Linked DNA regions of Zea mays. The protein of the gene in region 4 binds, or shares a complex with, the protein of the main gene of each other region. Links are inferred from orthologs where the notes say so. Each region holds a gene or a part of one and is shown on either strand. Other genes may lie near its edges. The genes, in order: pheophorbide a oxygenase, chloroplastic; Probable chlorophyll(ide) b reductase NYC1, chloroplastic; uncharacterized protein LOC100272914; Pheophytinase, chloroplastic; 7-hydroxymethyl chlorophyll a reductase, chloroplastic.

Region 1 (4,059 bases), on a different chromosome or scaffold from region 4:
CAAATAGGAAAACAAAGCTTAAGTAAAGGAAACACTAAACACACATGTACCTGCCACCATGCTTTTCCTGGCATTGTGAACTGGAAAAAGTTTCGAGCGCTACAGACAATAGAACGAGTCTTCCCTGGGGCCATTGGAATGTTGAAAGAGCAAATCCATATGACCCATTTCTGGTCGCCAAAAATGGGTAACTTTGTGTCTATCTCTATTCTGTACAAGCCAGTTAACAGAAGTTCAGAACCGTATAACGACTGAATTGCTTAAGTGGTAAATAAGAATCACTCCACACTCAAAGATGACCAGGTACTTTTCTGAAACTTACTTGTTTAATGCATAACAAGGGGCCTCAAAAGTTGCAGTAATGCGAGGATTACCAGAATTTGCTCCTGAGTAACCCCAGGCACCACTTGATTCCATCCTGAATGTCAAAGGCCTGGCTCTATCTCTTCGTCCAGTAACCTGTGAAGAGTTAAAATCTGAAACATGAGTGGATTTGCTGAAACCATGTATCCCGAGAAAATAAAGCATTTTGTTTGTCTATGCTGCCGGCACAAGTTCATGACACACAGATAGCACAATTAACTCAGCCAGTCATTTATAGGGTTTGGTTTGAGGAGCCACTCCATTCTAAATGTGGTGATGCATCATGAGTCAATTCCTTAAATTTGGTTGAATGACCCCATTCTTCATACTAGTACTAACTACTAGTCTGAGGAATGATGTGATAATGCACTGACCAACCTACTCCATTCAACAAACCAAACAAAGAAAAGAGGAATGAGTGGGTGAACTAACTAATCCCTCAAACCAAACACCCTATTAATGCCTGTTCAGACTAAGCAAGTAGCGTAAGTAAAAAAGAATAAAACTATGATGCAAAAATATATATGGGTGCATCCACAGTTAAGATCTAACAGTTAGGGTTTGGTTCCTTTAGTCCAGGGACGAAAGTTTAGTTAGAAGACTAAAATTTAGTCCCTACCCTGTTTGGTTCTAAAAACTATAAGTATTCAAAACACATTAAATGAATCATAAGAAGACCAAAATACTCCTTAACATCCTCCCGCCATTAGTGCAACTGAAATGAAGGAGGGCCAAAAAGTGGATTTTTATGGTTTAGCCCCTTAGAGTCATCCCTTGAGGGACTAGAGACTAGAACAGTTTAGTCCTTGTTTTAGTCCCACCGTTTGTCAATTTATGGACTAAATGGGACTAAAATGGAGGCACTGATATTTAATCCCTCAAACCAAACGGGACCTTAGTTAAACTTGCACGCTGGCAATCAGAAACGATAAGAGGCCAGACTCAGACCATTCAGCCCTTTTGCCCATTATAAGTCATTTCTGAGGAATTTCAATGCAGCATAAGTAAAAAAGAATAAAACTATGATGCAAAAAAAATATATGGGTACATCCACAGTTAAGATCTAACAGTTAGTTAAACTTGCACACTGGCAATCAGAAACGATAAGAGGCCTACACAATTAAACAGTATTGAGGTGGTGATTTTTTAGCAAACTACACAAATTGGTTGCAACAAAACATCTTTCCTCGAATCACCAACTTTCAACTGAAAAATACTATCATGGTGCTTAAGTGTGGCAAGCAACTAAGCTTTCTCACTGTACCAAGTACCTTGTGGTGAGCAAATTCTATATGGGACGGATCAGAGACGTTCTCCATCAACGTATCATAACCATAGAACAAGTCCCTCTGGATTGTCACCGTGGAGAAGGCCGGGTCCTCAAATTCTTTCGGCAACCTGAAACCAAACAAGATCGAATTCAGACACCGAAATGCAAAACTGAATCCAACCAATTAGCCGCAGTCCAAAGTCTGACTCTACGCACATTGGAGGCTTGGTGGCGGCCGCTTTCTCCCACCCATTCTCATCGGGCCACACGAAGAGCAGCCCCTGGGAGACGAGGGTGGGGAACTTGATCGCGCACGCCTTCGGTGACCGCACCGCACGGGCCTCAGGACCCTCGGGCATGGCCTGGGGGATCTTGGTGCAGGCGCCGGAGCCATCGAATGACCATCCGTGATACGAGCACTGCAAGCACCCCGTCTCATCGATCCTGCCCTCCTGCACATGCCCAGACCAAAATTAGCCGAAACGAGGAAGAGATCCGGTAGGACACGGATGAGGCGAGGAAGGGATGCGGGTCGCCGTACCGAGAGCGGGGCAAGGCGGTGGGGGCAGCGGTCGTCGAGCGCGACCCACTCGCCGGACTTGGGTTCCTTCCAGATGACGAGGTCGCGGTTGAGGAGCTGGAACGGGGTGGGGCGGCTGGGGTCGAGGTCCTCGACGAGGGAGACCGGGTACCAGTGATCCCTCCACGAGAACTTCTCGCCGGACTCGGGCGCCGACGTGCTCGGCTCCGCCTGCTCCGCCGCTTCCCCTGGGACGGACGTCGGCGCCGCCACGCGGAGGCGGGTCCGAGAACGACCGCCCACGCGGAGGCGGCCTCCAGCCAGCGGCACGGCGAGCGAGGGGAGCCGCGGCGTCACCAGGAGCGACAGGGCTGGGATTGTCGCGCGCATATTCTCCCCGCACGTGTCGACGTGAAGTGAAGTGAAGAGGTTTTGGCTTTCGCGTTGGGAATTCTTCGCCGCGCTGGCTATATGCTTGGCGGCCGGAGTCGGTGGTTGGAACGGTGCAGATCTTCTAGACTGGGCAAGAACAGAGTTCTGCCACGGCAACGGGGAGAAACCTGGTTTTGGCGCAAGAAAACCAGTGGACAAACAAGAAAATTCCGGGATTTTCCCACGCTGGGGAGTGAACGCGAGGGAAGAACTAGTAGGGCTGGGCAAAAAACCCGTAACCCGAAACCCAAACCTGGAATACCCGAACCCGAACCCGAAATACCCGAAACCCGAATTTTGTTTGGGAATTTCGGGTAGCAACTTGCAAAACCCGAAATTATTTCGGGTAATTCGGGTATCACAATCGGGTACCCGAAATACCCGAATTACCCGAACTTTCATGTGTCATGTACTCATGTCATGCTTAATAATTAATTTGTACATCTATAATTATGTGTAAGTGTGCATAACTTGGGATTGTAGATTGTTTGTGTTTTATATGTCCATGTATATCATTATTCAAACTATATTTTTATACTAATTTAATAGGGTGTATGTGTTTTTATGAAGCCAACACAATAGTTCGGGTAGTTTGGGAATACCCGAACCCGAACCCGAAATTCCGGGTACCCGAAATTCCGGGTATTGAAAAATCCGTTGTAATTTCGGGTATTGATTCTCAAAACCCGAAATTTAAAAAACTTGAATTACCCAACCCGAAAATTTCGGGTAACCCGAACGCCCACCCCTAAGAACTACTGATACGGTTCGGCTAGGGAGAATACATTGTACACATGGTGAGCGCAGTGTGGTTGCGTCACGGCAGGGAAGGGAGGAAGGGCGGGGAAGGAGGACAATTGTACGCGACCACGCATGGCGCTTTGCGGCATTTGTGCGGTGGAGCTTGCATTGGGCCAGCTAGCCGTCCCCACCGGGACGAATGCGCCGCGCGGAGGGGAGACCTGACCGGCGGTGAGAACGACACGAACCCACCCGTGGGCCGTGGCGGAATCCACCCCGCCGGATGTTTGCAATTCGCATCTTGCTGAGTAGCTACAAAGTTGAATAGATCAAATTCGAATTTGTTTACCAGTTCTACTACTACTTCCGTCCCTCAACCTATAGTAACCATTATAAGAGCATCTCAACTCATTTCAAAAAAACTTTCTAAATTCAGATTTAGCGAGCTGCTAAATATATACTGAAAAAACTGTCAAATCAGTTTTTCTAATTATTACTTGGAATTTTAAATTTAGTTTCATTTGTATGGTAAAGCTATCTTTAGACTTGTCAAATGAGGATGGTACATTTATAATTTTCGCGGCTTAAATCATTTAAAGTGTGTCACTTGTATACGAGCGCGATCCCGATGGTAGGCAAGTGAGTTTGCGATGCAGTTGACAAGCAAAATAGTTTATATGTAGATCTGGTTTAAATGTGATAATTATTTAAACATGTTCTAATAATACTAACT
Region 2 (4,163 bases), on a different chromosome or scaffold from region 4:
GTTCACAGCGACCTTTACAAATCATATAATGACAACTGATAAGTATGGAGAGCTTACCTTAACAGAAGGTCTGTGAGGACCATACCAGGTGAAGCAGTATGCACTCCAACTTTTGATCTTCTGCTTTCGTTCAGAAGTGATCCTTGGAACTGCTTTAGTCCACATTTAGTTGAACCATAGCTACAAATTTGAGTTCAGCATCAGATCTCGCTTCATAACATAAAGAACTCCAATACAGGACACTCAAGTTTTAGCAACAAAAAACACACATCTATACAGTAGAAGCTATAAAGAAGCAACAGAGTATTCGAAAGCTAAGATGCTTACACAGCTGTTAGTGGTGTGCTTGATCCTCCAGAACCTGCTCCATCCATGTTGAATATATGGCCTCCCTTCTCTTGGTATTGCATGACATTCATGGCTTCTCTGGTGCACAGTAGAGAACCAACTAGGTTTGTTGAGACGATCTGTAACAACATGAAATAGATCAGAATAAATTAATAAAAAGATGGAAATAAGGTAGCATGATTAAGCCAGGTCCTCTGATCAATGATACATACATAAAAAATGATAAAAACACAACATAATATAACAATAACGAACCTGAGTGATGTCATCATCTGAAAAGGTTACCAATGGCCTAAAACCTTTATTTGTGCCAGCGTTATTTATCTGCACACAAGGTTGGAGAAGAAGTGGTAAATAATATTCTTCTTTGATGTAGCCATAGAACCATACAGAAAAGCATAAAAGTGGGCACCACAAAATCTATCTTAATGTCATCATATATATAAAGTACATTTCACAACTGATGTAAATGTTATAAACTCTGTATAATCCAACTTTACTTAAATATTTCTTTAGCAAAACAAAAGGTAGACCAAATAAGATATAGATTTAAGCTACAAAACTGTAATGAATTACCTACCCAAATATCAACTGAACCAAGCTCATTAATAGCAAAATTCACTAACTCCTTCACATCTTCAGGTTTACAGACATCACAATCTGTACCAACAACCTTGGCATGCGATAGAATATTCCTCTGCTTCTTTTTGGCAACAGATAACCCTTCCTGTATGTTCTCTTCAAGTTCTTTTATAGTCTGAAGGACTGATTCAGGACTGCCATCACAAAAAGAAAATATTTAAAACTAAAATAAAGCATAAAGCTCCATAAGGAAAAAGTATGAAACCTTGTAGAACTAGACTAAAGTTCTCATGAATATCACCTTCGTGAAGTAATTACAACACGGTCTCCAGAAAGAAGAAACTCACGAGCAAGCGCTTTTCCTAACCCTCTTGTGCTGGAATTTTTTTATAACAAAAAAAAAAAAACTGATGTCAATGCTAATTGCCGAAATAAGAAACAACAGTATGAAATAACCTATCCAATGGCCGTGAGCAGTGAAACTGCAAAAACTTGAAAAACACAGCCAAACTTTATTTCCTTCTTAAGTAGCTAAATCCATTAACCTCGACAGTTTCTGTTTTCTAGAGTGATTTCATATGCTATCAATAATATGCTGTGCAATACTTTTCTTACAGGGCAAGTCAGCTAATAAATGAAAATTGAAAAATGGTGCATACAGAGTCCTGGAAAATTTTGCAGAAGGCATCTTGAACGAAGGATGGAAACAAGGTACCTTCCAGTTATGACGACATTGCGAGGTCCAGCTTTGCAGTGTTCCTCTAGGACACTGTTTGCACCTATCATTGTGCCGATAATCACCCCACCAAGCCAGCTATACCAAATTAGTTCGTTCATTTGGCTGTCTCCACCTGGGTGAGGGGTTTAAAAAAAATAGTCCGTCTAATTAAATTGGAATTTCAGGAAAAGGCCAAGAGTGAAATGAAACGAGAGGCATAAACGTATGGCAAACCTGACAGCTGGAATCCAACCCCAAGTACAACACCGCTGCTCATCATAGTGATAACATATCTGCCTAGCTGAGTAGTAACCTGCGAGAAGGTGACTGAGATCAGCAAACATATAAGAAACCCTTATGCACAGGAGAAATGGAATAAGAGAAATATACGACTTGGTATGGTGGACTGCAAGCCTGGATCACATGCAACAATGAACAAACCCTTGTTTGTTCATGATGCCACGGTTTAAGGTACTAAGGCTGTAATTAGCGAGCACTGGACATTTATTTGCGTTCCTGATAGTAGTACTCCAGCATAGTTAGGCAATTCATTCAGGTGTGTGTGTGAGCAAACAGATAAGCGTGGTGACTGGTGAGGGTGGGGGGCACGCCGCAAGGATTCGCGAGCGGAGGCCGGTGCGGTGCTCACCGAGAAGAATATCTCCTCCGCCTTCTCGACGGCGCGCTGGTACTGGTACTCTCCCCCGTACACCTCGGCGGCGGCGGAGCGGGATCCCGCGAGGCCCTGGATCGCCGCCTTGAGCTTGTACAGCGGGCCCTTCCTGCGCTTCCGCGCGTCGGCCTCAGCCGGGTCGCCGTCGCCGGCCTCCTGCTTGAACGCGCGGCACCGCAGCAGGGACGGGCGGTGAGCGGACGAGGAAGAGGAGGAGGTGGTGGTGGTGGTGATGGACGGCCGATGCTCCGGTGAGCGGCGGAGGCGGCCGTGGATGGAGAGGTGGGCGACCGCGGCGGCGGCGGCGGCGGCCATGGCGCGGCGTGCAGATAAGGGTTCGCGGCGAATGTCCGTGGGGGATTGGGGTGGTCTCCTGCTGCTAATGTTGCGTGGGGCTTGCTGCTGCTGCTGGATTTTTTGGGGGGGGAGAAGAGGCGTGTGCTCTCCACTGGGCTTTACCAGTGAATAAATATAATAATCGTAGCTTCTTCAGGTTATTGCAGAAAGGACCCTGGACTGGTTTGTGAAGTTCTTTGGGCTCAGATGAACTGGCCGGCGGCCACACGCTGCTGCAACCTCATCCATCCGTCCCATTCGCGCGGATAGGCGCCACGTGGCCGTTCGCTTTGGCTTCAGGGTCCCCAGCGCTGGGCGGATGCGGCTGCACCGAGTCCCTGTCCAGTCCATTCCACGGACACGGAGATAGAGCTCGGACCAGGGCTAGCACACAGATGTCAGCAAAAAAATCAAGTATCTCAGAATCGTCGAAGAAATATCTCAGAATCCTAGACAGATACTTGTAAACGCGTACGTACGTGTCGTTTGAGCATTTTGGCCCATGTTATATTTTTATTTGTCTGCGAACGAGATCTGCACGGGACCTCCGAGCCCCCCCGGATGCCAATGTTTCGTCGTCGTCCAAAACCCTAAACGCAGGAAAAAAATTTGTTGCAGCCCGGCTGCAAACCAGGCTGTTTGCAGCCCCTCACAAAAAGGAGGATAGGTCCCACCCGCAGGTAAATAATACAACTAAAACGTTATCTGGTGGACCTGCAGGTGGGGCCTATCCACCTTTTTGTGAGGGGCTGCAAACAGCCTGGTTTGCAGCCGGGCTGCAACAAATTTTTTTCCCTAAACGCAACTCGTACGTGTTCGGCAGCATCATCTGGTGTTTACGACAGGACAAAACTTGCAGATGCACATTAGTGGCAAAAAATTCCTGTTACACGTACGGCGACGCCAAGCGTGCGCGGTTATTAGAGCAAATAAACACGTGCACGCAACGCAACTCCCGTTAGTCCGGCACGCAAACGCACGCGAGGAGGTGACTCAGCGCTGTGGCTGTGCTGCCGACTCCGTTCGCCTGCTTGGTTTGACCGTCCATCCATCGGTTGAGTTGGCTGCGGCGTGCGCGCGCGGGAGTGCCACGGCAAACGTACGTGCACTGAACCATCGACGATCGTCCTAGCTCGTCGGGCTTTGAGTCAGTGGGTCGGACCCAGAGCAAAAGTAGAGTGACAGCTGCAACGCTGGTCCGGTTCGCTCTAGGGTTATGTAGGCAAATACGTGCTTTGCTCCTGAGGAGTCTCACATCTCTATATAAGCAACTTGTACACCACCTCATAATAGAGATCAGAACTATATTCAGTGTCTCGTGTGTTTCCTCTGTCGTGCTTATGGGAAGGAGACGGGTTCTCTACATCTTCTTGCGCATCTACTGCTGACGGGAGGGAAGAGGACGGATTTGGTGATCCGTGGTAACGTAGTTCTCAACACGCTCTACTGTGCTCCATCTACCACGTACTGCTGCTCTGCCTCGATCGGTGAGTGAGTGGACCCGAC
Region 3 (3,931 bases), on a different chromosome or scaffold from region 4:
AATGAGGCACACCGCAACGTGTCACTTTGTTTTAATCCAGGGATTTCCTTGACGTATTATCGTGCACAATTGTATACATACGTGAATTTCATTCTGAAACAGATTTTCATCCTATCGCCAAAGTCCAAAAGTTACTGATGTAAAGTCCAGCAAATGCATAAACCCGAACGGCCGTCACGAACTATGCAACGTCCAGATACGCACAAGACAGTAGCTACTTGTTTGACCCCCCCCCCCCCCCCCCCCTCCGGGATCAAAACAAATTTCATAGGACCGATATTATCGAACATTACTTGTTACCATCATCATGTGCATCCGAGCTCAGGAGTGGCTGCTGCTATGCTAGCTCGCCACAGTTTCGCTTGAACACGGAACAACCTGGTTGTAGTTGTCATTTGAACATATCAGGTACACATAATACTATTATGATGCCATATCCGAACATTGCGAAAAATGGTGATGGAGAGTGTTCTTTGCAAAATACATACAGCGGCAAAGGATAGTAGATCTAACATGGATGGATATTTTTTTAATATGTACACCATATACACCAAAGTTTTATATACATAAAACAAGATGCAGCAAAACACACCGCCATTCAGTACCTCCTTTTTAGGCAGAGCTAATTCTTATGCTTATTGGGTATGTTAGCATCAGGAAGACAGGAACGGCTTAGGAACTCTGTGATGAGAGACTGTTCCTGGAAACCTGGTCCTAACAACTGATCATCTTCACCTGCATAGCTCACTTTCATCATCTCAGTTAGCACTTGGTAGTAATATATACACAACTTTAGCACATATACTTTCGATTGTTCAAATAAGGGGGTTTCATGGACTCACAACAATTTTTCTCTACAATAAAGTAACTACATGCTTGTATTTATGAACGACTTACGGCTCTTGTACACCAAAGGCCTTGCGGATTTCAGTTATGACCCGACTAGACACATCCGGACCAAACATCCTGGGAAGGTTTGCAGTCAGGTCAACCTCTATCGATTTCGACCTTACAATCCGGTCCCTCTTGAGCAGGCAGTCCCTCTCCGCCTCATCCATCTCTATGGTGGAATCAACACAGTTGTCAAGCCAAGTCTGAAGAGCCTCCTGAATGACCTTTGCTAACTGTCCATGTATTATCTCTTCCAAGGCTTTCTCACCCCCTTGTCCACAGTCAATGCTCACCATTATTGCTGTAGGCGAGCATGCGCTGCGCACGAAGAGTGACGGAGATCTGTATGGACGAGCCTGCGGTAGCTCCTCGATCTTTCTGCGCTGCTCATCCATTCCAGTTTCCTCGTAGTACTTCTGCAGGTAGTCCGGGTGAAACGCGAGGTCTTTCCGTGGAAGCAGGTCCAGAATCACCACCATTGAAGTTGAGCTGCCTTGTATGAGCTCCAGTAGGAAATGTGGTGCGTCCGTCGAGGCGTTCAGGAAAATGAGAATTGAGGTGATGTCAATGGCACCGTTCGGGACTTCACAGTGAAGCGAGGACTGCAGCATGAAATCAATCTGTAGACAAGGAGGAAACGCACATCAGGTCCTGTCATCGTTTCTTTTTACTACATCTTACAGCAGTAGCAAACAGGAAGCATGTTAATGCAAGCTTTCTTCCATCCTCGACGACATTGCTGTTTTCAATGACTGAAATCACATATTAAGATTGAACTATCAGCTCAAGGACAACAACATATATGACAGTGATATTCAGATTGGACTGCGATTACAGTTTAAGTTTTGGAAATCACGGGACGGATCATTGCCAGTTTCTTTATCTGGAACTCGGCAGTCTCACAAGTCACAACAATAATCTAAGGGACTCAAATGGAGAACTGTTAGTAACCTACAATTGACAAGATGCTTTGATAGAGTTGCATTAGCAATATTTCCATCTAAAACTTTGACAATTCACCTTGAATGGATCAGTGGACAACAATTATCCAATTGGCGAGAAGTAGGCGGTCAGCAAGTGCACCAAACCATACTGAACTGAAACACAAGCCATTTTTTGGTATTCAATACAGATGCCATATATGGGGTGATGTGTGTATTTGAGTACTATATACCAAGGAAAAATGGTGGAATGCATGATGTGCCGATTCCGAGTCATACTGGAGATCCCATAACCGTATTACGCACAGAGCAGTATAGTAGTATGCCCTTATCTTTTGGTATGCAACCACACGAAAGCTGTATTATACTAACATGGTACGGTACTACCACAAGAAAAAAAAAAATAGGATCACTATTGAACTGTACCGACGAGCCAGGAGAGCCCCGTTGCACGTCGAGCGAGCCGACGGCGTTCCCGGCGGCGTTGCGAAACTCGACGACGTCGGCAGGCACGGCGGACGGCAGCAGCCGCGCGCCCAAACGCGCCACCGCCTGATCCGCGACCACCCGCGCCACCTCCCTCTGGGCCATCTCGGGCGCGCGCTTTACCGTAGAATCCGGCTCCGCCGAGGCGCGCACGGGGCTCGACGTTTTGCCCCTGAGCGGGGGAGGCCGCGAGCGGGCTAGCCGGAGGGCACTGAGGCGAGGGAGAGGACTGGAGAGGAAAGAGTAACCCGAGATCAACGCGGGCGCTGTAGCGTGGCTGGTCGCCGGCAGCAACCGGAGATATTGCTCCAGCCGGAGCATGGAGGGGAAGCTGATTCCTGTCCCGGCGTCGGATAGGGGGAGTAAGAAGACGACGTTACAGACTACAGTGACGTGAGAACTAGCAGGTAGCAGCTACAAAGAGGAGGCAGCGCTATCGCCAATGCACGCACAAAAAAGAATTTACGTGATTATCGGGGTGGATATCGAGCCACTCGGCTCGGCTCGACCGAGCTCGAGCTGGCTCGTTAAGGAAACGAGCTGGCTCGGCTCGGCTCGTTAAGCAACCGAGCCAGAGAATCAGCTCGGCTCGGCTCGTTTGCGAGCTCGAGCTGGCTCGTTTATCTCGCGAGCCAGAACAAAAAATATTATACATGTATATATACAACAATATAATTAATTGCTAGTTAATTTCATACTAATTTAACACTAGAAAAGACTAACAATACTCATAATTTTATATATCACATCATCTAAACCGTAAACTAACATAGTTCATCACTTATTAATTCATCTAATACAAGTATAGGCTTTGTTTTACAGATAAATGCTAGCTCATTCGAGCTAACGAGCTGGCTCGAGCTCGTGTCGAGCTGGCTCGTTAACGAACCGAGCTGAGATGTTAGCTCAGCTCGTGATAAAATTGAAACGAGCCGAGTCGAGTCGAGCCGAGCTGGCCACGAGTCGAGCGAGCTCACGAGCCACGAGTATTTTGCCCAGCCACGATTATCTATTAACTCTAATAACTTGGAGGATAGTTCGGAAAATCGGAAGGTCCATATTTTTTATTGCGTTTAAAAAGGCAAAATGTGTGAAGGAGTGTCTTGGACCTAATTTGGGCGCCAATTACTAATGACCGAAGCGAGATTGTAGATAAGATGTAAAATAAATAACACTATCTCGGATGCGGTCTTGAACTTTATCTCTATCGCTGATTTATAGTACACCACCTCTATGATGACCACCATCTATTTAAAACCAAACACCAATGAAGCCTAGTCACTTCTCGTGACGAGCAATACTTTGGGTTCGGCTCTGCAACGTGAACAGCGATGACGGTCCATGACAGGTCACTGAAAGTAGCCTAGAGAGGGGGTGAATAGGCTACACCTGAAATTTTTCACTAAAAACTTCGAGATATGTCAAATTAAAGTTGCACTGGTGCAAACCGGTTCAGTTGATTTTGTTTACAACTGAACAAGTTTGAACCTGCTCAACTTAGATTAAATAATCAGTTAAACTAATATGACGAAGTAGTGAAAGATTTTGCTAATGACTTTCCCTACAGAAAATCCACTCAAATAAATGAATATAAAACAACCAACAATTTTAGG
Region 4 (4,174 bases):
ATGGCCTCTTGGAAGGATATCTGACCCCTTGGAGCAAACATAATGGAGGCAAACGATGCAGCAGCTGCTGGGTGTTGTGTTATCTCCACAATACGAGAGAATACTTTGTCCACATTTGTTGAATGGTCAGCGTATACTTGTTTGAGTATGTCCTGAATACTTTTTGGGTCACTTATCTTTTGCCAACTATATCACAGAGGAAATTACACTCCAATTAGATTATAAAATACAATGTGTGGATAATTCATAACTTTTCAATGACACATGCATTAGACATTTAATTTTGCATGTTAGTTTATTTCTAAAATTTCAATAATGCAAGAGCATAAGCAAACTAAATCATTATGGTAATAATGCTTTCACATGTAAAACTACAAATATAACGTTTCTTGAAATAAGTAAATATCACAAATTTCAATATAGCGAAGTTAAAACATCAGAAACTGTTGGTTCATGTCAGTGTGAAATGTATGATTTTAGTGATCGAATATGTTCTCCAAAAATAATAAACAACACTTACACTGCTTCAGTAATTTTCCTCACAAATGATGGAAGCGGAAATGTCCCAGCCCATGGGAAAATCTTTGACAATCGGGGAGATGTAGCAGGGTTGGGAAAGAATCCCCAAAACGGTGTTGCATTAAGCAGTGTGACACCTTTTACAAGGTGTGGACTGGATGCAGCAAAATACAGAGCAACAAAACCTCCAAGAGAGTTCCCCACAATATAAACTGGTTCACGGATAACCTGGAAATGAACTATAATCTTAGCTTACGAAATATGTTGTATAAATCTCATGGTGAAATTATATGATCATATGTATCAGTGAACCTTTATTAGCTTCTGTAGTATAAAGGCATAGATAGCTAAGCCATCCATATACGATGGTTACAATAAACAGATTTAAACCTTATGTGTGCAATTTTAAACAGAAGTACAGAACAAACATAAATATGACGATTACTACATTTCTAGCAGTAAAATATGCATAGTTTATGTTGGTCATCACTCATCAGTGTCGGTTTCGAGCAGTTGTCAACACAAAAATGAAGGCATTCAAACAATGTTCCAGTTTGGCATGGTGTTCTATCGCCCTTGAGGCTTGATGATCTCACTCCTACTAGTGATGATATCTCTTATGTTGTGTGGTGGGGAAAAGCGCATAGAAAGGCGCACAAGAACATGAGAAAAGGTTTTAACAGCGTCATCATTTTGAGGGCTTGGTGCTTATGGCTTCATCGTAACAGGGCTGTATTTGATGGAGTGAGTCCTTCCATGAGCACAGTCCAAAGTATGTCTTTGGATGAGTTGATGTGTTGGGGTAGGGCTGGTGCTAAGCATCTAGAGAGTCTTGGCCTTGCTGCTGCCTGCCTTTAATATGGTCAGGGAAAATCACAGTGCTTAGCGTTTAGGCAAATTAGGTTTGCCTGCTCTTTTGCTTCTGCATCTTCTTTATTATTTCAGCATAGGAAGAGGATGGAACATTAGTGTTTGGCTGGTGGTCTTTGGATCCAGTTTTTCTACCCTTTGGGCTTTGTAATTTAGTCCATTTTGTAATTTTTCTTCTCTTAATATAACGATGCGCAGCTTTTCTGCACGTTCGAGGAAAAAACAATGTTCCAGTTTCAGATATTTATGAATAAAGAAAAAAATAGTAACAAGCCTATGAGGAGTTTCCAAAAGGCAAGATTTGCAAACTAAACACCGATGCCAATTTAGTCAAAACAAACATTGCAAGACACAGTAACTAATTCAAGGAGTACCTCCTCAATGAAATGCTGAACTTGGTTTTGCCATAAATCCACAGAATACACCAGCTCCTCTGCCCAAGGCTGCGAATCTTGTCCAAAGCCCCAAAACGCATCTTCGCTCGCTATGCTACTAGGAGCAGGATCTTCACCAGGCAGCGACATCCCCTGCCCGAGAAAATCCATCGTCCACACCCGATGATCGCGACCAAGATCCCTCAGCTGCTTCTCGAAATGGAACGTCCCGACTCCGAACCCCGGCAGGAAGAGCACCGCAGGTGCCTTGCTGTTCTTCATGCCGGACCTCTCGTAGTACACAGTCAGCTTCGGCTTCCACTCCCAGAACCCAGTACTGATCGGGGAGCTGTCAGGGCCTTCCGGAAGGCCTTGAATCATCACCCTCTCGGCCTCCCCGGCTTTCATGGAAGGAATGCCCTGCAGGGCTGCATCCACGTCGCTTACATGGAATCCCTGGGCTGCATGGACCTTGCCGGAACCACCCGGATTCGAAGCTCCACTCGTGGTTCCTACACACGCAACTGTGTATCTTCTGGTCCGGGAAGGCCTGGCATGCCCAAGACCAAGGCCAAGAGCACTGCCCCGAAGCCTCCATGTGCTTGCTGGTGTTTGATGTAATGCCGAGCAGGAGTGGCTGCAAGAGACCACCTCCATGATCGCTATGATGTTTGGCGCCCACTAGTTCTGCAGACAAAAAGGGAAGTAAATGACTTCGCCAGACCGAAGTGGAACCAATAATCCGACCGTTCGTCATATGGCAATTTGTATCATACAGCTATAAAGCAGGCGCGGTAAGACATATATACCAGATATTTTTTTGGCCAAAAATCGAAGCTAGAAGAAGGAAGGGAAGGGATCAAGGGAACGAGCGCGCATACCTGGCCGACCTGGCGCGGGCGGCAGTGAATCAGTGATCACCCCGTCGTCGCCGCTAGGGAAGAAGGCCCGAGAGAGCGAGGGAGTGGAGTTGAAGGCGAGGATCGGAGACGGAGGAGGGTGGAATGGAACGCAGGACGCGCTCGCGCCGTCCCGGATGGCCTGCTTCTTTGGACCTTGCGTGCGCGCACGCCATCCGCGTGGCGTGGAAGAGGCGAGTGGAGGAGAGGAGTTCGGTGTGCACGGATTGCTTTGGTTTTGTCCGTTTGCGGCTTGGAGATGCGTAGAAGTAACTCGAGAGTCGAGACTCACACTCACTACGACGAATAAGACCGTGGATTTTTTTTCGTTTTCACAATGTTTTTTTTTTGTTTCGACTACGTTTTCATATCAAAAAAATCTGTGCCGGAAAATGCAAAGGGTCGTTGGTGGCACTAAATTAGTAGGTGGTGTTCTTGAAATTTTGGCAATTTAACGTTAGTTTAAGTCATAAATTCCATATCAAATATCGGTAGTATATATATAATGTAAAAGAATTAAGTGCTAACATATTAACATTAAATTCTATCTATCAGATTTACCATAGTACAATTCTACCTATTTTCTTAAACTATTTTCTAAAATATTTCTATGTTTACAACATACGTAATTTTTAAGCAGGGCGGACCCATAGGGGTAAAGTAGGTCATGATCTCATTCGATCATTAAAACCTCTTATATCTAATGTTAAGTATAGAAAATTTTGAAATTTTTGGTGAACTAAAACATCGTTCTAGGTCTCTTGGTCCGATGGGTCCAATCCTCCTACTTCCGGCCTTCTCATTGCCCCATTTCTTGCATATATCTGTCTAGGTTCATTTTTCTCAACGTCGTCCTAGCTAGTCCGCTTCGATACCCTGTCCCAGACATCGCTCTCTTCCCCCCTTACTGAGACGCGACACTGCCTAGCCCCGACTCCTTCCTGCCCTCGTCTTGCTTGTCGTCATCGCAATATCGGCCCGTCCGACAAGCTCAATCTCGCTCGTCGCAACGATGCGACTCTAGCGACCGATGAGTTTCGCGAGCTAACTAGCACTAGCTCTTAGCCAGAGATGCCGCCTGACCTAGCCCTTCCCCCGCACCCATGGCCTTCGAGAAGATAGACATTCTAAAGATACACACAACTTCGATTCGATCAGTATATGTTTGCTTCTTTTATTTATAAGTTTTTTTCTTTGAACATGTATTGTGTATTGATATGAAGCTTTAATTCTATGCAGCATGAGTTTTTTATGGTCTTGATTGATTTTGTCACGTGGTAAAAAATGTTAATTGTCTATTCGCTAGTCATATTAAGTAAGTTGAGTTCAATAGAGTTAAACATTGCTAATCGTTTATTCACCCCTTTATACGACATCAAGGTTCTTAAATGCCGTAATTTTAATCATATGGCTTTTTTGACCACATAAATTCTTATTCTGCGTGCCACTTCTAAGTGTGGGATATGAAGAAGGGATAAACATCCGACGACTCATGTGCATACATCACTTTGC
Region 5 (4,157 bases), on a different chromosome or scaffold from region 4:
AAACTGCTCCTTGAGCTGTTGATATGGAAAACTGTATTCCTATCCTATTGATTATCCATACATGAACCTACCAATGTGGGAAAAAGAATGTATGCAGCTAATTATTTCAATGTCATACCTTATAGTCTTGCATAAATTCATAATGCATAACAGTTTCTGGCTCACTGCTTGCCGCTTTCAAGAATTTATCAAGCCCTTCACGCGTACCATTGTCAACTAAGAAAAATACAGTATGTTAGAGCTACAATATTATCTTCCACGACAGAAAATGTAAATATTGACTGGTTTGAGAGGAGAAATGGAAATTACCACAGTTTGTTCCAAGCACATAAAGCTTTTCCAAACCAAGGTACTTTTCTACAGATCTCAAAGCTGTAGTTCAAACAATAACTTTAGCAACTTTTACTTTTACATTTGATAAAACATCAGCAATAGAAAGAGAAGAAAGGCCAGGTAAAGGAAAAGACCTTGCACTTGACAGCCCACACCGCAGAAAAGAAGCCGCTTTACACCAGCTGCCTGCCAAAGGAAACTGTGAAACTCTCTGGATTTATAAACTGGTCACTATAGGATATCATATGTATTGTTATGGTTGGAGGGATGATTGGAATAGGCTTTGGAACCCACTAGAATGTGGGGCTACTCCAGATTTAATAGGCTAATAGAATTACATTTGCGGTCTTGCCAAGCAACAAATTCAAATATAATTGAACTACTTCTAATTCTCTTGAATTGGGAAATGGGAACGAATATCTGGATCAATTAACCCTAAATTAATATTAGGACAGCTGATTCTCTCTGACTCTCAGAGATCTGCTGATATGACCCATTATTACTTCTATATGTTATAAGAAAGGGAAAGGAGGCATGGCACCATAGCTTGCATCAAGAATAAGGGGGCATGGGAAGTATAGAGTTAAAAGGAGCGACTTACCTCGACTAAGGCAAGTGTATTGAGATTTGGTGATAATGTTGGCTTCACACCTTTGGCTGCAATTACTTCGTCTGGTGTCCTACAAGAGCATGGCTACTGAGATTAAATGTCACTTCCATTCTAGAAATCAAGGGACATAATGATTAGCATGAGTAATTCATGGATGGACTGATAACAAAAGTTTAAGCTCAAAATAGTTACAGAAAGTCTGGAATTGCAAAAGTATATCCAGTCAAGGAGTGTTATACACAAGCCATAAAGGACAATTCTGAAAGCCATCAGTTTCACAATACCTGGCCAAAACAGGTCTTGGAGCAAGCCTGTCGTCAGGATCACTGCAGAGGGGGTAAAAAACATTATTTGAATCCATGTGGTAATGCTTGTGCATAGCACTGAGAAAGAATGATGTGGCATTTGATTCTTGTTTGGGTGCCTTTGTACACAAACCACAGCATCAACCATGTTTGCTTTCAGCATCTCGACAGCGATTGTTGTCACTATTCCCGTCCACTGGGCTCCTGTTGCATGTGAGGCACATATATGTTACAGGGTACAAAACATAAGTCGTCAGGGTACAGTTTTGTCTAACAAAGGTTTGTTGAGTATATCAAGATAGTGTAGGAAATAAGATGCAACATTCGAGGTGTATGTGGTTTCGGTTTGTTATGGAAGGGCAGTGAACAAGACTGGTATATTGCATATGTGTGCTTCCTTAGATGGATGCAGGCGGTTGTTGAAGGATAAGAACAACTTGTAAAAGGTAATTAGTACCTTCAACAGGTTCGGTCTTCCTGGCATACAAGAGTTGGTCATAGACTCCAAAGTACATTTCATCCATGCCTTCCTTCCGGCCTCTCCCGTGGACTTGTCGCTCAAGATCCTAAATATAGTGAGGAGAGTGTTGGCATCTGTAAATTTGTGTCAACTTTTTTTAGGAAACAGGAGAGTTCCCCGCTTTATTTCACTGAAACAAAGTGTAGAATTCATGTCGAGCATTACTACTCCCTCGGTCTAAATTATAGTTCACTTTAGCTTTATTCTAAATCAAAACTTCTTTTAACTTTGACTTGACCTAAGTATTTTATAAAAAAATATACTCCCTCTGTATATGTTCAAATAAACTATCAAGACATTTTTCACGAAGAAATTGATGAAATCATTTTGATATTGTAGATGGTCTCTATGAACTTGGTCAGAGTTAGAAAAGTTGAACTATAACTTTCGACGGAGGGAGTAACTGCGTGCAGCACTGCAGCCCATGGCTTGATCAAACATCAGACGATCATTTTTGTTTTCATTCAGCAAACTGTTTGAGCCGTTCTAGGCAGGTGATGTGATGCGAAGATGAAGGGAGGTGACCTCGACACGGGACATGCCGTCTCCCAGGAAGGCACAGGCAGTCTTGACATGCGCAACGTAGTATGTGTCGCAGAGCCCACAACGGCTTGAATCGCCATACGAGTAGAAATAGGAACAGAGGTAAGCATCGCATATTCGCATCACATAAACACACAAACAAACAAAGAAATGCGCAGCACAGCAGGCATATACCTGCAGTGGTCCTTGGCAGGGTAGACGGCGCCAGGAGGGATGGGCTTGGATTTCTGCCTCCAGTCCTCCCTGACCGCCTTGGCCCTGATCTTGCGCGTTCTCTCGGACCTGGAGGACGAGGAGGAGGCGAGGGAGGGTCGGCGGAGTCCAGGAGACGAGGACGAGGGCGACGAGGCGTGCAAGCAAAGGGAGAGGGAGGTGCTGGAGGCCATGGTGGCGGAGATCGTCTCACCTCAGTACCTCACCGGTGATAAGACGGAGGATCGAGTGGAGATGGAGGAGTCATGCCTTGAGCCTTTAAGAGAAACTACTGTTACTGGGCCACCTCATGAATTTCGGCTCATGTCCACCCTTTGAGGAAAATTCGGAGCCTGCAAAATGTCCACCCATCGATGCATAGTGCATCTTTTTGGTTTTCATATTTAAAAATATTCAAAATTCAACACTATACCCCGGATAAAAAGTTAACAGAAATTATGCCGCCCATATATGTATTTTTTTACTTCGTAGTCCCTCCTTTTGGTGGGACGACGATCCGTACTCTTAGATTGTCTTCAACACCTTACTCATCATATCTCATATCTCAACCGCTATTTTAAACTTAACTCTTATAAACAGTAGTATACAATATAAAATAATTTTTTACGCGATCATATATATGACTAGGTTCATGCCCATGCGTTGCTACGAAAGTAAAAAAAATAGTATAAAACATAGATACGAAACGATAAACAACATTATGATATGCAAAATCTATGTGGCAAAATATCACTGTAAAACTATTATATTGGCGAGATAAATATGTAATCTTATTATAGCTAATTGCACGTGCGTTGTTACGGTTTCTATATATCAAACAATTAGACTTTATTTTAACAAATCACGAAAACATGTGGGTTCTGTTGGTTAGATGAAGGTGGATGTACAACAAACAAATATTCAAACCACTACCTATTGATAGACTTTGTTTTACAAAACACAAAATATATATCTTCTGTTGGTTAGATGGGTGTGGATGTAAATCCAATAAAGGCCCAAACTACTATTTATGTGTAATTGTACCTAATTTTTGCATAAAGTAGTAATTTTATCTAATTTTTTCATAAAGTGGTAAAGATGACCACTATTTATGTGTAATTGTACCTAATTTTTGCATAAAGTAGTAATTTTATCTAATTTGTTCATAAAGTGGTAAAGATGATCTACGTTGAAACCAGAAAAACTAAGCATTCTTTTTTGCCTTAGCAGAATCTATCAGCACACATCACGCGATTCCAGTCCACCACGTATATATGGAGCAATAGCTTGCCAGTGAACTCATCTCTCGCATGTTATTTCACTCTTCAGTTTAAAATCTGATAGATTGTTTGAGCTAACTCGAGCTCTGCTTCAGATGTTTTGTAGTTAAAATCTGACACGAGACATATATCATATGCAATGGGCACAGATTCTGAATCCTTCCATGTGTTACACATTCTCACAGCGAAGCACAAAACACATGATGTACAATGCACACAGATCTCCCAGGTAGCTAATGACTGCAGAATTTATTCCTGCAACTGAAAGCAACCATTTGTCCATCTCGGTGTGCAGCAAACACATTTGTTCATAGGCGTCCCGTTGCGCGACCACTTGATCCTCATAGTGAAGTAGACCTTGGCAGCGGCGGCCT

The links.
Region 1: Pheophytinase, chloroplastic (region 4) and pheophorbide a oxygenase, chloroplastic share a complex: the UniProt entries of both Arabidopsis thaliana proteins name them as parts of the SGR1-CCE-LHCII complex. The link is inferred for Zea mays from reciprocal best matches to the Arabidopsis thaliana genes PPH and ACD1.
Region 2: Pheophytinase, chloroplastic (region 4) and Probable chlorophyll(ide) b reductase NYC1, chloroplastic share a complex: the UniProt entries of both Arabidopsis thaliana proteins name them as parts of the SGR1-CCE-LHCII complex. The link is inferred for Zea mays from reciprocal best matches to the Arabidopsis thaliana genes PPH and NYC1.
Region 3: Pheophytinase, chloroplastic (region 4) and uncharacterized protein LOC100272914 share a complex: the UniProt entries of both Arabidopsis thaliana proteins name them as parts of the SGR1-CCE-LHCII complex. The link is inferred for Zea mays from reciprocal best matches to the Arabidopsis thaliana genes PPH and ACD2.
Region 5: Pheophytinase, chloroplastic (region 4) and 7-hydroxymethyl chlorophyll a reductase, chloroplastic share a complex: the UniProt entries of both Arabidopsis thaliana proteins name them as parts of the SGR1-CCE-LHCII complex. The link is inferred for Zea mays from reciprocal best matches to the Arabidopsis thaliana genes PPH and HCAR.

Annotation. Positions count from the first base shown.
Region 1 is NC_050096.1:10,195,923-10,199,981, reverse strand, and holds the start of pheophorbide a oxygenase, chloroplastic, read right to left. Parts: upstream 2,808-4,059; 5' UTR 2,544-2,807; coding exon 2,175-2,543; intron 2,086-2,174; coding exon 1,850-2,085; intron 1,762-1,849; coding exon 1,635-1,761; intron 460-1,634; coding exon 323-459; intron 211-322; coding exon 51-210; intron 1-50. UniProt on the Arabidopsis thaliana protein: Catalyzes the key reaction of chlorophyll catabolism, porphyrin macrocycle cleavage of pheophorbide a (pheide a) to a primary fluorescent catabolite (pFCC). Works in a two-step reaction with red chlorophyll catabolite reductase (RCCR).
Region 2 is NC_050098.1:2,269,986-2,274,148, forward strand, and holds the start of Probable chlorophyll(ide) b reductase NYC1, chloroplastic, read right to left. Parts: upstream 2,802-4,163; 5' UTR 2,637-2,801; coding exon 2,298-2,636; intron 1,962-2,297; coding exon 1,883-1,961; intron 1,782-1,882; coding exon 1,646-1,781; intron 1,307-1,645; coding exon 1,232-1,306; intron 1,125-1,231; coding exon 929-1,124; intron 673-928; coding exon 604-672; intron 468-603; coding exon 328-467; intron 181-327; coding exon 58-180; intron 1-57. UniProt on the Arabidopsis thaliana protein: Involved in chlorophyll b degradation. Belongs to the chlorophyll catabolic enzymes (CCEs).
Region 3 is NC_050096.1:144,516,656-144,520,586, forward strand, and holds uncharacterized protein LOC100272914, read right to left. Parts: upstream 2,652-3,931; 5' UTR 2,640-2,651; coding exon 2,259-2,639; intron 1,512-2,258; coding exon 894-1,511; 3' UTR 736-893; coding exon of another isoform or gene 732-735; 3' UTR 503-731; downstream 1-502. UniProt on the Arabidopsis thaliana protein: Catalyzes the key reaction of chlorophyll catabolism, porphyrin macrocycle cleavage of pheophorbide a (pheide a) to a primary fluorescent catabolite (pFCC).
Region 4 is NC_050100.1:79,043,195-79,047,368, reverse strand, and holds the start of Pheophytinase, chloroplastic, read right to left. Parts: upstream 2,804-4,174; 5' UTR 2,645-2,803; intron 2,451-2,644; 5' UTR 2,421-2,450; coding exon 1,764-2,420; intron 748-1,763; coding exon 521-747; intron 187-520; coding exon 1-186. UniProt on the Arabidopsis thaliana protein: Alpha/beta hydrolase dephytylating specifically the Mg-free chlorophyll pigment (pheophytin), yielding pheophorbide. No activity on chlorophyll. Belongs to the chlorophyll catabolic enzymes (CCEs).
Region 5 is NC_050096.1:206,310,986-206,315,142, reverse strand, and holds the start of 7-hydroxymethyl chlorophyll a reductase, chloroplastic, read right to left. Parts: upstream 2,802-4,157; 5' UTR 2,698-2,801; coding exon 2,486-2,697; intron 2,379-2,485; coding exon 2,294-2,378; intron 1,815-2,293; coding exon 1,706-1,814; intron 1,453-1,705; coding exon 1,368-1,452; intron 1,270-1,367; coding exon 1,228-1,269; intron 1,014-1,227; coding exon 935-1,013; intron 520-934; coding exon 468-519; intron 373-467; coding exon 310-372; intron 217-309; coding exon 119-216; intron 1-118. UniProt on the Arabidopsis thaliana protein: Probable iron-sulfur flavoprotein that converts 7-hydroxymethyl chlorophyll a to chlorophyll a using ferredoxin as a reducing equivalent. Catalyzes the reduction of a hydroxymethyl group to a methyl group. Belongs to the chlorophyll catabolic enzymes (CCEs).